2 linked regions of the Diceros bicornis minor genome follow. The protein of the gene in region 1 purifies or fractionates together with the protein of each later gene. This does not show direct contact. Links are inferred from orthologs where the notes say so. Each region holds a gene or a part of one and is shown on either strand. Other genes may lie near its edges.

What was found.
Region 2: the proteins of CUL1 (region 1) and CDK2 purify together in Homo sapiens (affinity purification with mass spectrometry; 4 studies listed by BioGRID and IntAct, counting the BioPlex papers as one, with this or other methods). This does not show direct contact. The link is inferred for Diceros bicornis minor from reciprocal best matches to the Homo sapiens genes CUL1 and CDK2.

Annotation. Positions count from the first base shown.
Region 1 is NC_080742.1:95,004,773-95,012,738, forward strand, and holds the start of CUL1 (cullin-1), read left to right. Parts: upstream 1-4,677; 5' UTR 4,678-4,858; coding exon 4,859-4,998; intron 4,999-7,966. UniProt on the Homo sapiens protein: Core component of multiple cullin-RING-based SCF (SKP1-CUL1-F-box protein) E3 ubiquitin-protein ligase complexes, which mediate the ubiquitination of proteins involved in cell cycle progression, signal transduction and transcription.
Region 2 is NC_080756.1:12,774,414-12,782,028, reverse strand, and holds the start of CDK2 (cyclin-dependent kinase 2), read left to right. Parts: upstream 1-4,355; 5' UTR 4,356-4,545; coding exon 4,546-4,661; intron 4,662-5,409; coding exon 5,410-5,487; intron 5,488-5,595; coding exon 5,596-5,716; intron 5,717-6,371; coding exon 6,372-6,542; intron 6,543-7,040; coding exon 7,041-7,142; intron 7,143-7,615. Other genes in the region: melanocyte protein PMEL, read right to left, coding at 855-1,001, 1,157-1,267, 3,479-3,554. UniProt on the Homo sapiens protein: Serine/threonine-protein kinase involved in the control of the cell cycle; essential for meiosis, but dispensable for mitosis. Phosphorylates CABLES1, CTNNB1, CDK2AP2, ERCC6, NBN, USP37, p53/TP53, NPM1, CDK7, RB1, BRCA2, MYC, NPAT, EZH2.

The DNA.
Region 1 (7,966 bases):
TTAAGAATCAGTAGGGATCAACAGATTTATCTTTTTTTTTTTTTTTTTAAAGCTATATTGTTCCTTGAAACAGTTTCTTGAAAAACCAGTCCTGAAATATATTCAGGAAAAAATGCTCTACGGCCAAGACAGTGTGAGTACGGGATGCTTTATAGTGTTTTTCTGATGGAAATTCCTAAGATATGTTCACTTATTAAGGCCTCTGAAGTCTTGTAGCAAACAAAACAAAGTATTTAGCTTCACTAAAGCTAGCATTTCCCAGATTCCCGTGATCTTCCATTCAGTTGATGTTCCAGTTAGTGTTTAGTTGATGACTGTTTTAAGTGCTCTGTTTTTTTGTGAGGAAGGTCAGCCCTGAGCTAACATCCGTGCTAATCCTCCTCTTTTTGCTGAGGAAGACCGGCTCTGAGCTAACATCTATTGCCAGTCCTCCTCCTTTTTTTCTTCCCCAAAGCCCCAGTAGATAGTTGCATGTCATAGTTGCACATCCTTCTAGTTGCTGTATGTGGGACGCGACCTCAGCATGGCTGGAGAAGCGGTGCATTGGTGCGCGCCCGGGATCCGAACCTGGGCCGCCAGTAGCAGAGCGCACGCACTTAATCGCTAAGCCACTGGGCCAGCCCTAAAGAGAAAACAAAGCACATAAAAGCAAGGGTAGAATATTTTGCTGATTTTTCAGCATATTCTGTATATAAGTTGAGATTTGCTATGGCACCAAATTTCGATGCATCAAAACTAGACACAAGTATGTGTGATAAAGTAAACTTGACATAAAAAGGTTGTATTTGATCTCTTAGAGTATCAGTGAGTCTTGATAGAGTAAGACTGATAACTGGAATCGGAAGTGTAATACGAGGGAGTAAGAACATGTAAAGAATGCGTGGGTCATGATGTTGAACTAGGATAGTGGAGGTAGAGGAAGATCCACAGTAACGGTTTTATTTGGTGTATTTTAACTTTGTGGGGGGTTGTGTTGGTATGATAATTGGTATCTTGACTTTATCTTTCATGCTCTTCTGATATTTGCAGTGTTTTTCTTCGTTTAAAAAATGTCGGACTTTTAAAAAATTCAGCTTTCTTAAATTTCAAAATATTTGAATAGATTTAATATTGATACAATTAGGACTGATTTGTTCTTTCAAACTGTCAGCTCTTATTTGGAGCTTTTTCGGTTTCTAAGATTAATAAATAGATAATTGGTGAATCTATTTTTTTTCTCATGGCTCTTTATTGGTGTCCTTGTGTATTGTCGCCTTAAAAATGAAAGAACCTAAAATGCAGGCTATAGTATTGGGGAATACTGACTTGAGAATCCGAAGCTCTGGCCTGTGGTCCTGCCGCTTTTTAGCATTGTGATCCTGATCAGGTTTGATTGCTTCTTTGAATCAGTTTCTTCATCTGTAAAAGAAAGAGCCAGAACGATCTTTAAGGTTAACCTCTAATTGTCTGTGACTGTAATCGGCTCTTATAAGCAAATACTTTTGGTACTCAAATGCACAGTACATAAAGTTTCTAGTTTACAAACAGGTTATATACCAGAAATTTATGGGTTAGCTTCTTAGAAAAATGCTTTATTCCGTGGTAGAAGTGTTATGAAAATAGATGATGTCTGTTTTGATTTACAATTGATAGTACATAACCAGGGCAGAGGACAGTGCCTAGCACATTGTAGTTTCTTACTAAATATTTGTTAAATAAATATTAATGGTCACTAAATTTCTGTAACTCTCAAGTCTTGCTTAAACACTATATTAAAATACATATACATTTGCAGTGACCAGGATGATATAAAACATGACTAAAGAAAACAGCAAGAAATAAATTATAGCCTAAAATCTAGTGTTGAGAAGAAACAGGATAGAATTTTGTGGAGATTCTACAGGGGGATTTGGGGCAAGTTCAGATGCTCTATGATACTCTTATTTCCTTATTTCCAAATCCTTTAAAAACGTATAGCTTTTTAGTTCCTTAATTTCTTCTTTTATTCATGCAAAATATTGATTGAGCTGTGTACCAGGCTCTGAACTAGGTTCTGAAGATATTGTGGTGAGCAGAAGAGATGATCTCTGTGCCTGGGGATCGTAGGGATCCTTCTCCCCGGTGAAGTGGGAGAGCTATGGTAAAGACAGGCATGGAGTTAAGACCTTGAGTAAGAGCTAAGAAGGGAAAGTCCCAGGAAATGGGTGACCTGAACCTCGTCTGGGAGTTCCCTAGTAAGTCTTACCTGGGTGGCAGTATGGCTGGAAAACAACCTGATGAAGAAGGAGAGGAGCTTTCCAGGCAGAAGCAGCAGCAGATGCAAAGATCCTCAGGAGCAGAAAGGAGATAGGCATGTCCAAGGAAGGAGGGGAAGTCTGTGGCTCTGTGCCCAAGGGATGAAGGGAGAGTTTTGTAAGAGGCAAATGAAGAGACAGAAAAGATCTGATTATGCCATGGTAGGATTTCTGTGCTTCACACTGTCTTGGCTGCTCCCCACTGCTCTCAGGATGACAAGCTAATCAGATTTACAATTTTATACTCAACTGCCATGTGAAGAATAGATGGGGGGTGATGTAAATACTGAGAAGTATGGGAATCTAGTTTAGACTACTAAAATAGTGGTCCAGGTAAGAGACGACGATGGTGATGATTGATTACTGGGAGAGGAAATGGAGACGAGTGAGTGGTTTAGAATGATTCCCAGCTTCCTGATTTTTGGATACATAGAATTGCCACTTCCTAAGATGGGCAACACTGGTGGAGAATGGAGTTTGGGGGCAGATCTGGAGTTCAGTTGTAGACCTGTTGGGTTTGAGACATCAGAAGAGGTGAACTAGCACTTGGATACAGAGACAGGCCTGGAGTTGAGAGAAGAAATCTGGGCTGGAGAGAAATGTTTGTGAGTCACTGGCACATGGAGGTTTGCTGAGTCCCCCTACTATGCTTATCCATCCTAAATGAAGTGGCTTTTATGGTGCCCAGTTGAAATGCTATGGTGAGGAAAAGATAGAAATGGGAAAAGTGGAACATTTTTCTCAGTTGCCGGTAGAAATTAGAAGAAAAAGAAAAAGGAGTAAAAGAGTATCTAGATGGGTATGAGAAAGCTTATCTAAGATGGAATTAGGTGTAAGTCTGGGGAATTTAAGTGATAACTTCCCCTTAGGGGAAAATGAAGTAAGTGTGGGGGTGAGGGCATGTAGGTTTAAACAGGTGATGCCGTCAGGTGGTGCTGCCAATCCGAGACCCCCTGATTACCATCAGGTGAGCTGTTGGTATGATCTCCCCGGGCTGATGAAAGGAAAGGCGGGGTGAAATTATATGTCAGAAACATTGGCAGAGTGGTTACTGAATTGTTAGTTTCCTTAAAACACGAGGGAATTCTTCTGTTAGATATTTTTGTATTCCACATTTGAACATACCTATGTAACTATATAACATAAAATACTTTCAGGATCAGAAATGGTGTTGTGGTTTCATAAAATATTCAGTCCCATAGCTCAGATTATAAGTATTAGAGGTGATTTAGGTGTCAGTAGTTCAGACTTAATCCTCAAGCGTGCCCTACATTGTCCTTAAATGTGCCTTTGCCATTGAGGGTGTGAGACACACTGGATTACTTGCTGAGGTGACTCAGACTTGAGTTGGCAGGTCTTCACAACCCATTCTTATTGTTCCAGATACCGTTTACCTCCCAACAACATTTATTTTATGAAGCCATTAAAATAACTCACTGTTTCTTAATTTTGCACTAGAAATACTTGTTTAAAAACCTCCACGTTTTGATGTGATGTACATAGACGATCCTTAAAGTATGTCTGTAATATTGCATATTGAGAAGTACTGATTTAATACAATATTGAATAGCTGAGGTCCTTGATCTGTGGACCCTCAATCCTGAAGTATTATAAATTGTGTTTTGCAGTAACTTCAAACACTTAGAAATAATAGCCATTACCATTTTTTAAGCATTTACTATGTGTTAAATATTTTACATACATTATCTTAATTAAACTTCACACAACTATTTGAGGAAAATGATTTGCCCCCATTTTGCAGACTAGAAAATTGAGGGTTCGGGAAGGGAGAAGTTAAGTAACTTACCCAAAACCACGTACCTAGTAGGTATGGAGCTGAGCTTCAAACCCGGGTCTCCTGAAATTCAGGGCACATTTTAAATTTTGACAGTTCTTGCCAAATTTGCTTCTAAAAAGGGAGTGACCATTTCCCTTCACCTTTAGCCTCGCTGACATTGCATTTTGGTAAGTGCGAAGTGAAAAATTAGTAAAATTCACAGATAAATAGTGAGATTGAATGGTTTTTCCTATTTATTAGCTATTTGTGTTTCTGTTTCTGAGAATTCTGTTTGCCTTTTTTCCTTTGAGTTTGTCTGTTACATAGGTCAAGTAATCAGCTGAAGTTTTGATGCCTTTAGAAGGCAAAGAAAGGCAGCATTGCTAGCTGTGCTTCTGCGAGTTTTACCCAGCTTTTCTTGTGAACACTGATAGTCATGATTTGAACGTAATGTCTAAGTATAAGCTTATTTCTATACACATACCATATAATATGAGTGTGTTTCCCCATAGAAAGAGAAATAATCTTTGGAATAGAGTGGTGCCTGCTACTGCCTGCAGCCTGAGTATTTCTGTTAATGTGGCAGGCACCCTGTGACCCACGCCAGGATGTTGAGAAAGAATTAATTCCCTTTATTTCTTCTTCAGGTTTGCCTGCAATGAGATTTCATTCTCTACATTTAAAGGACATCCTTTCTGAGCTGCTGTGAATAAATTTGGGATGATACTGTATATTTTCATCTAATGGAGAATTAGCTGTACCTTGAATAAGGATTGCTGCACTGGACGACTTCATAATATTACTCACGATGTCATCAAACAGGAGTCAGAACCCCCATGGACTGAAGCAGATCGGCCTTGACCAGATCTGGGACGACCTCAGAGCTGGAATCCAGCAAGTGTATACCAGACAAAGTATGGCGAAATCCAGATACATGGAACTCTACACGTATCCTACTGCTCGAGCTGAGATTGATTTGCTTAGAATTTTGATTATTTACTAGTATGGTCTGTGAATTGTAGAAAATTTACATTATGTTTTCACCTTCCAGTTCATCCTGTACTATAATCACAGACAGGTTTCATTTTTAGCTTTAAAAATTAACTCATTTACTTTTTTTAAGTTTTTTGAATAGAGGTAAAACTGGCTGGTTGGTAGTCTGAAGCAACTACTGTTCAACACAGTAGCCACTAACCACGTGGCTATTTACATTCGCAGTCATTAAAATTAAGTAATTAAAAATTCAGTTCCTAAGTTGGGGCAGCTGTATTTCAAGTGGTCAGTAGATAATAGGCTGCTTCTGCCATTGCAGAAAGTTCTGTTGGGCAGCACTGGTTAAAGCAGGGAGCATTGGTTTCTGGATTGTCTGTGGCTCCCTTCATGCTTCCGGGCAGAGTGGAGTTGTTGCATCGGAAATGGTCTGGTCCACAAAGCCGATATATTTGCTATCTGGCCCTTTATGGGAAAAGTTTGCTGACCCCCATGTAAAGGGTTACCACATAGAGCAAAAGTTCTACTATAATGACCCTGTTTTACAAATATGGTATTAAAAAAGTATTTCATGCATTCATTATGTGGTCCGTGATGTGTGCAAGGGCCTGTGCTGTATGCCGTGAAGGTTACGAGGGTGTAAAAGATGTTGCTCCTGTTCTCTATTATATACTTGCAGAGATAGAATTTAACTTGTGGAATTTCTTGTTTTCATTCAAATATAAGAAATTGAAATTTAAGCTAACTCACTAGAGAGCAGATTGCCACTGATTTGCTGGTTCTAGGAGTTTAAAGTTGCTAGTTCAATGGAGTTTTAAGTTTAAACCTTTAATATGTATCAGTGATGTCAAACTTGGTTATGTGATATTCCAGTATGCCTTCAACTATTCTAATATTTTACAATCTTAAAAAAATTAACATGGATCTAAATAGATATGAAACTATCTCTAAATTAATTTAAAATTTGTTGTAGGTGTATACTCATATTCATATATGTATATATGTTTACACTGTAGAATAGTTAAAAAGAATAACAGCTTCATTGAGATATAATTCACATACCATAAAATTTATCCTTTTTTAAAGTGTACAATGCAGCAGTTTTTAGTATATTCAAAGTTGTGCAACCATAACCACTATTCTAATTTTAGAATATTTTCATCACCCCCCAAAAGAAACCCTGTGTCCATTAGCAGTCACTCTCCATTCTCTCCTACCTTAGTCCCTGGCAACCACTCATCTACTTTCTGTCTTGATGAATTTGCATATTCTGGACATATTATATAAATGGAATCGTACAGTATGTGGCCTTCTGTGACTGGCTTCTTTCACTTAGCGTAATGTTTCGAGGCTTCATCCTTGTTTTGATATGTGTCAGTACATCATTCCTTTTTATGACTGAATTGTATGGATATACCACATTTTGTTTATCCATTCATCAGTGATGGATATCTGGGTTGTTTCCACTTTTTGGCTATTATGAACAATGCTTTTATGAATATTGTGTACAAGTTTTTGCATGGATCTGTGTTTTCAGTTCTCTTGGGTAGATATGTAGATGAGGAATTGCTGGGTCATATGATACTTAGAACACTTTTAAGGAGCATAGAATCTTTGCAAATGAGATGATATTCCATTCAAGAGGGTTGTGGCTTGCTAGGTGTGACAATTTTTTTTTTTTTTTAACTCTTGTAAGTAGTAGAGCTGAAAATGATGATTCCATTGGTCAGGCAAGGCACTTGGTTGGATTTCTGGTGTGCAGAAAAACAAGGGAGCTGGTGTGGACGCCAAGGAAATCGAGTTGATCTGTCTCAGCAAAAATTGAAAATTACAGTTTCTTAATATGTAATTTTTGACTAAATCAGATTTGTCCTTTGCCCAATAGAATGTTTTGCTCTTAGAACTCTGAGAAAGTAGAGCCTTTGTCTGCTTGCAGTAATTACTGAATTCTTTTGCTACAAATAATTATAATTTGTAGTTATTCTGATACCTGCAATGTTAATTTTTTTTAGGGATGCCACTCTTAAATTGAGTATTATTCTTTTCCTTCCAGTTTTGCCTGAGAAGATACATGAAGAGTGGAGAATCTGAACTAAAATATCTGACTTTAATCCTTTAGATATTATTTATGAAATCATAGCTACGGTTTGAGTCTGTGTGTCAGGCGTTGTGCTGGGAACCACCTCTGTCTTATTTAAGGCTTGCATCACCCGAGAGTTGGTGGTAGTAACCCTCCTCTGTTGGTGTTAGAAGCCTGATCTCCAAAAGCTCAATTAATTGGCCTAATTGTTATAGCAACCATTGATAAATAATGATGCTGGTACTAAAATTCTTAGTATAGTAGTCTCAATATAGAAACTGCCATTATCGACTATTTTGCCTTCAGATTTTGTATTTGAATGAATCACATTTTTCAAACATCTTCTGTATTTTCCTCATGAAATTCCAAAGAAAAGTGTTTTGATCAACTCTTAATACATTAACTTTTAGGATACAGATGAAACAGTAGAATGTCTACTTGTATTTATTAATTTAATTATTGAAAATCAAAGTTATATTCCCCCCTTCACCTGCATTTTCAATATCAGTGTTATTGTCAAAAGTAGGAGAACTTTGAGTCATCTGACATTTTTCTAGAGCACATCTTTACTTTTATTTAATTCATTTAGGATATATTACTTTTTGAAACTGTATGTTGCCATTACTGCAGTTTTATCCTAGCCTTAGTTTGCATAACAATTTTTTAAAAAGTTTTCTCTAATGGGTGTATGTATATTCAGTCTTACAGGTAACCAATTAAGTGTATTGCCCTTTAAAATAATCTCCTATAGGCTGGTTTACAGTGACATCTACACTTGCAATTGTGAGGTGATTTCAGGTTAGGAGGTGCTCTTGATCTTAGAAAAAGGAGCAGCCCGTGCATCTC
Region 2 (7,615 bases), on another chromosome or scaffold:
TACGAAGTTACGTTCCCCTTGTATAACCCACTTGGGGTGGTGGTGGGGAGAATGGAAACTACAATTAAAGATTCATATGTATATTTAAATAGGAAAGAGATTGGAAGGCCATATATCAAAATGTTTAGAGTGATTTGCTCTAGCTAGTGGGATAAAAATAAAAACAGCACCACGGGGCCGACCCAGTGGCGCAAGCGGTTAAGTGCGCACGCTCCACTGCGGCGGCCCGGGGTTCGCTGATTCGGACGGATCCCGGGCGCGCACTGACGCACTGCTTGGCCGTGTGGCGGCGTCCCATATAAAGTGGAGGAAGATGGGCACAGATGTTAGCCCAGGGCCAGTCTTCCTCGGCAAAAAAGAGGAGGATTGGCAGATGTTAGCACAGGGCTGATCTCCTCACTAAAAATAAAAATAACAGCCCCAGCTAATATTTATTGAGCCTTTACTGTAGGCTGTGGAAGGTGTATGCTAAATTCTTTACAGATTATCACATTTTAATCCTTAAAACAACCTTTCAAGTTATCATCCCCATTCTAGATAAGGAAATGGAAGCATAAGAGAATTAAGTAACTTGCCCAGGATCACATGCTAGTAGCAACTTTAAATCAAAGTCTGTCCCACTTCTAGGTCCACTGGGTCTTCTGTCCCCCATTTTGGAGACTATAATTTTTTCTTCTTTTTGCTTTCTCTGTGTTTTCTAATTTTTCTACAATGAATATGTATTACATGTATAATTTGTAAAAAAAAAAAAAAAAAAAAAAAAGTAGAGGGGAAGGGAGCATTCCCTGAGCTCATTGGGGATACCAGGGAATCCGAGCCCTAGGAATGAGGGCCTGGAGTAGAAAGGTACTCACCATTGATGATGGTGTTGTTGGCCCAGACGACCTGCCCATCTGGCAGCACCTTTTGGCTTTCAGGGAAGTGCAGGGCAATAGAGAAAGAGGCATTTGCCCCAACCAGTGTAGGCCCATCGTTACTGACCTTCAAGGACACCTGGCCACCTGGGAAGGGCAGCTGCATTAGCTGGGACTCCTTGGTTTCCACTCCCCATGTACCTTTTCCCTTCCTATCATCCCAAGCTACATCCAACCCAGTTCTTGCTCCTCTCCTCACCCCGTTCCCACCATACCCTCCCCAGAAATTGTCAAGTTCCCACCTCTCCAGCAGTCAGGCCTCTGAATTTCTGTCCACTCTGGATACAGCTGCCTGTTCCAGGCTTTAGTTCTGAGCTGTCTTGAGACACCAAGCCAGTCCCGGCCTCTGGGTCCTAAAAGGAAGGTACCATGAGGGCCCTAGGATCCTCACTCAGTCCCTTCTCAGGGGATAACACCGTCCCATGTGGCCCCACTCATTCTCACATTCAAATTGCATTTTAATTTACTGAATACCCACCAGGTACCAGGCACTATGCTAGGTACAAAGGACTTAAGAAATGAACAAGACATGGCCCTAATGGGATTCAAGGTAAAGTATAGGAAATAGACATATACATAAATTACTATAATTCAAGGCACTGTTTAATATGAACCATAACAGACATGCACAAAGTGCATGAAAATGACAAACTAAACAGACTAGTTCTACTCTGGCAGATTGGGAGAGATGTCAGTGAGGAGTTGGCCTGTGGGATAAGGCCCAGCATGAGCAGATGCATGGAGGCAGGGAAGCACCTGGCATGATAGGAGACTACCAGCAATGTGGTTGATGCACACTGTGAGAGATGAGGCCAAGAAGATGGGGGCTTTCAGTGCCAGGTGAAGGAGTTTGGCCTTTATCCTGTAGGCAAGGCCACCTCAGAAGATTTTGTTTGTTTGTTTTATTGAGATATAATTCACATACCATAAAATTCACCCTTCAGAAGCTTTTGAATATGATCAGATGTGTTTTAGAAAGATCACTGGCAAGCAGTGAGGAGGATGGATCAGAGGCAGGCAAAGGTTGCGGGTGGGGACAGAGCAGATAAAATTATTGTAACTGACCAAGAGAGAAGTCTGAGAAAAAAAGGGATATGATGGATCTCCATATGCCTCACCCAGATCCAATGACTGTCAACAATTTTGCCACATTTGTCTTATCTCTCTTTTGTTAATGTTGTTTGTTTGTTTTTTGGCTAAAGTATTTTTTTAAAAATCCCAGACATCTTGTTATTTTAACCCTACAAATGCAGCATGTATCTGTAGGGTTAAACAATTTTTTTTAAACATGAATATTTTCTTGAATAAGAACAATGTCAATTTATACTAGACGAAATTATCAAACTCAGTCAATATAAAATTTCATGAATATCCAAAAATGTCTTCTTATGATTTTAAAAATTGGGACCCAAAAAGTAAGCACAATCTTTTAAGAGCCTCAGGTGGACAAGTATGAACAGAATGTTTCCAGAATACATTAAGGAACATAGTAAAAGAATAAGACTTGAAACTGCAGCATGAATGAGGGAAGTCAGATCAAGGAGAACTTCCTAGAAGTCTGTGTGACTAGGGATCTAGAGATAGAAAATGGGGACTGGGGCCGGCCCCGTGGCTTGGCGGTTAAGTGCGGGCGCTCTGCTGCTGGCGGCCCGGGGTTCGGATCCCGGGCGCGCACAGACGCGCCGCTTCTCTGGCCATGCTGAGGCCGCGTCCCACATACAGCAACTGGAAGGATGTGCAACTATGACGTACAACTATCTACTGGGGCTTTGGGGGAAAAAATAAATAAAATTATTAAAACAAAAAAAAGAAAATGGGGACTGGGATATGAGGTATATATTTCAGCACAGCAGAAACTGTCCTCACTCCATTTCTAATGTGTACTGGAAACCTAGTTGATTCCACTGGGGGAGGATCTGGAAGCATGTCATTGAGCATCCCACCCTATCATAAGATGCCCTATTCTTTCTCCACTCCCAACCCTCCCTTCTCAGAGCAGCACGGGACATTCCAGACCCTCTCACCACCCCTGCCCCCATCCCTTGCTCCTGTCACGAGGCTTCAATCCCCCAAAGCCCTTTCATGTGATGCTCAGCTGAGACCCTCTGCCCGTCTCTTCCAGCCCCAGAACAAAAGCCTGGGCTGTGTTCGCCCATCTCCATCCCAAAGAGGGGCGATGGGGCCCCCTTACCCTTCTTATCCAATACCACATTCTCTTATTCCTCACTTTACCCTATCCCAAGTGTTTGAGACATTGCCTAAAAGAGTCTCCCACTCATTTCAGCCCTTTGGAGCCCCTGCTCCATCTCACTGAGCAGGGGGCCTCAGAATTAGGGCCGTGAAGATCCACTATCCTCTTTCCCTTCCAAGCAGATGGGATTATTTTCAGGTCCAGTCCCAAATCTCCGTGTGGGGAGGGAGCTCAGGTGCCCATGTCCTCACTAAATCAAATGGATGGGAGAAGACAGAAGTATTGCTGGTAACTCCTATTAGGAGGGGGAAAACCAGAGCAGATGCGCAATCTCAAATTCATACTTGTTCATCTCCACACACCCCACACTCACCTTCTGTGGCCCCCACAGCCAGAAGAGCACCCATCACAGCCATGTGGAGAAGGCATTTTCTCAGCACCAGATCCATCCTCTTCTTCCTTCCAGCAACCAAAGGTGCTGGTGGGCTGGGACAAGCCCCTGTATAAGAAAGGGGTGCTTATTTGCATAGCCCTTCCTCCTCTCCCTCCAGGGAAGGTCTGGGAGGGGCGGGAGGACCGGAGAACGGCAGAACTGACAAGGGATGCTGGTCCCTGGACATCCCACTACTCAATGACAGTTTCTGGGTCACTTTCATCTGGACACACTCCATCCTCCCGGGAAAGAACAGCTACGTAACACATACCGAACACACACAGTTCATCATGGGAGAGTGAATCAGTCTGTTGTTTGAGTCCAACAGGAACCTCTCAAAAAGACAAGAGATCCTGCATCCAAAAACAGAAAGACAGTCTCAGGGTAGGCTGAGAGGCGGAGGCAACGACTCCTCCGAGGCCCAGGAAACCCTTACAATGAGATTCCCAGCTTCCTGCTTTTCAAAGGAGGCTCCCTGGGCCGGGGGGAATTTAATCTTAGGTCGATACACATTTCCCCTAAGGGTGGCGAACCCTGCGAGTTAAAGATCAGGAAGTCCCTACAGACTGAGGGCACGGGTCGGAAACTCGAGCCCAAATCAGGTACTTGGAAAAAGGTGTTCAGCCTCGTCACCGACGCAGAAGCTTGTTCTAACGCCCCTCAGAACCAAACTTGTGCGGGAAGGTCATTTGCGGCGAGGGGCGCTGGGCTCGCCCCGCCCGCTCTGACGTTGACCAATGGGAAGGCCCGGGGGCGGAGCCAGGGAAACGCGGGAAGGAGGGGCGGGGCGTCTGGTGGCGGTAGAGAACTGGGGGGGAGGCGGCAACATTGTTTTAAGTTGGACAAATTGACAAGAGCGAGAGATACACTGCGTTCCATCCCGACCTGGGGTCGCGGTGCTGGGCCCTGTTTCCCCCTCTTTGGCCCCCCGAGAGCCGGGGCCCGCTTTCTGCAGGGTTCCCAGGCCCCCGCTCCAGGGCCGGGCTGACCCGGCTCGCTAGCGCTTCATGGAGAACTTCCAAAAAGTGGAAAAGATCGGAGAGGGCACGTACGGAGTTGTGTACAAAGCCAAAAACAAGTTGACGGGAGAAGTGGTGGCGCTTAAAAAAATCCGCCTGGACACGTGAGTGGCCTCTGTACCCGGGACTCCTAACTCCGGAGCTCCTTGAGTGTCCCTACCCCCACCCCCACCCCCACAGGCGGGTAGCCGTCCAGGGACCGGAAGGTAGCAGGGAGGGACTTCTTTTGAGGTGGAGAGGTGGACTGGAGGACAGTAGAAAGTTTCCCTGTGGAGAATATAGCGTAGTGCACAATCCATGGGGAACTTCCTCCCCAAAGCCGGGTGATACCCCCCTAAATGTGCAGTCAGAAAGACTCAGGAAGACTAAGGAGGCCCCTGAGATGGGGTCCAGGACTCCTGGTGGAGTTGGGTTTTGTAGGAACTGGTGAAAAGCACCTTTCTGAAGGAAGAGCCCTCCTCACTGTCCCAACCCCACCCTCATCTTAGAATTCTCTCCCTCTTTCAAAAGAATGACAGTTGAACCTCACTGGCCCCTCCAGGGAGGCTGGGTGCTGCTAGTCCCATTTTTTTTCTGTTACCTTCTCTCTGCTTCACCTTCACCAGGAGGCTTTACTTACCTACCCCTGGGAAAAGAAGAAATAATGACCTTAATATGTCTAAAAGCCACTCCCTGACCACCCATGAATTAACTCCTACAGCACTCTTTCTCTTCTCTCACTTTCCTAGGGGATGCTGGGGGTGGTGTCACCTTGTGGAGGGGGGGTGGGAGGTGGGAGAGGGAGTGACTGGGCTGGAGGAAAAAGAATATTTGTAACCACATTCCCATCTCTACTTTCCCAACCTCTCCAAGTGAGACGGAGGGTGTACCCAGTACTGCCATCCGGGAGATCTCTCTGCTTAAGGAGCTTAACCACCCTAATATTGTCAAGTAAGTATGTATTTGGGAGGTACTCTGATAGTAAAGGAGGATACCTTCTGTCTGTGAAGTCTGGGCATTTCTCTCCCTCACCTCCATTCCTGGACCTCTCTTCCCTAGGCTGCTGGATGTCATCCACACAGAAAACAAACTCTACCTGGTTTTTGAGTTTCTACACCAGGATCTCAAGAAATTCATGGATGCCTCTGCTCTCACGGGCATTCCTCTTCCCCTCATCAAGGTAATCCTTCTCCTCAACTCCTCCTCATCATGGGCATCTTGGAGGGGACTGAAGGCAGGCAATTCAGACTGAGTGATGATTTGTAATGTGGCTTCCTCCCCAGCCCTCATTCCCCTACAGACAAATACCTACCCCTTTCTTTTGTGGCTCTTTCACTGCTCATTATGCTTATTAACCCCAGGGCTGGGCAGGAGAATCAGAGAAGTGGAAACTCTAGTAAGTCAACTTAGCAGCTCAGGTGGAAGGTCAGATGAAACTCAGATAAATGGGACTTGAGGGCACTTGGTAGATTCCTCTAAAAAGCCCTTCCACCTGTTTGGTGGAAGAAATAGCCAGCAGCTCTCTACTGTCTGTTTTAGGCCTGTGTTCTTTACTCCTGGAGCTACTTTCAATCTGTCAACAAATGTTTATTCAATGCACATTTATTGAACACCTTCAATGTGCTAGGCACAGCATATGGAAAAGAGATGCAAAACTGAATAAGACCTGGTCCTTACCCCTCACTGGGCTGACAATCCAGTGGGAGAAATAGCTTGTAAACATGTAATTATGATCCAACATAGTAAAGGCTTTAGTAGAGCTTTGGAGGCACAGAGCAGACCCTAATCTTCTCACTGTGGTTGAAAAACACAGTCCTCTCTGTCTCCCTTGTCAGAGCTATCTGTTCCAGCTGCTCCAGGGCCTAGCTTTCTGCCATTCTCACCGGGTCCTGCACCGAGACCTCAAACCTCAGAATCTGCTTATCAATGCGGAGGGGGCCATCAAGCTAGCAGACTTCGGACTAGCCAGAGCCTTTGGAGTGCCTGTTCGTACTTATACTCATGAGGTGAGTCTCTCTCTGCATTTCTTCTCTGAACTTCCTGGGAGGTGTTAACAAAGACATTCACAAAGTTACTAAAAATACCTGGCAGCAGTTTCTCTCTCAGTAGATGGAAAGTATCTCTGACACCCCAGGAGGTCTTAGAGTATGCACATAGTTCATACCTTCATACCGTAGGGCTAACTGGCCTTTGATAGATACCAAGCCAGGAGAGCTGGATGGCACACCATTAAAATTATGACGACTTGTCTCAAGTTTTCCAGAAAGGTCACAAATCGGGGCTTCAGAAAATACGGTTCCCAGAGCCATGGGCAAGGCTAACTCTGGGCTAAGAAGTGGTGTGTAATCATTTCACTTAGGCGAAGTCAGAAGGAGGGGAAGGATGGAGGGAAGGAAGCTGCTTGTTAAGAGCCTGAGAGTTAGCAGAGTAGTGCTGAGGAACTGAGACGTGGGAATCTCCATGCCCCATACACCATCCCTCCCCTTCCCACTCTTATCCCCCAGGTGGTGACCCTGTGGTACCGAGCACCTGAAATCCTTTTGGGCTGCAAATACTACTCCACAGCTGTGGACATCTGGAGCCTGGGCTGCATCTTTGCTGAGATGGTACGAAGCCATGCCCTAGTTCCACCCAGCCCACTCCTCCCCACGTTTAAGAACAACAGAACTGTTTCTTGGCCCAGACTCATGGGCCTATTATCACAGGGTTCTTTCTCTAGAGTAGCACCACGCGGGGTGGTGGGGAAGGATAGGATTGTTGTCCCTGATGTCAACCACATGTTAGGATATCCTCAAACAGCCTTAGCATCCAGTTTACTTCTCTTATCCCCAAATTGAGCTAAATAATTTCTAAAGCTGTTTTAGCTTTGGTCTGCATATATTTGGGAGACTGAATTCCATTTAGTGCCTCCTTGATGGCCTGTAGACCTTACTGTAGGGTGCCAGGAATGTGGTGAAGCCAACAGCGTTCACCTTATCCACACCTTTTATTTAAACTGCAGGCTTAGATCATGTCCCCCCTCAACCTCTGGCTTTTCAGATTGAAGGATCCCTGAGGCCCAGCTTTATATGGGAGCTCT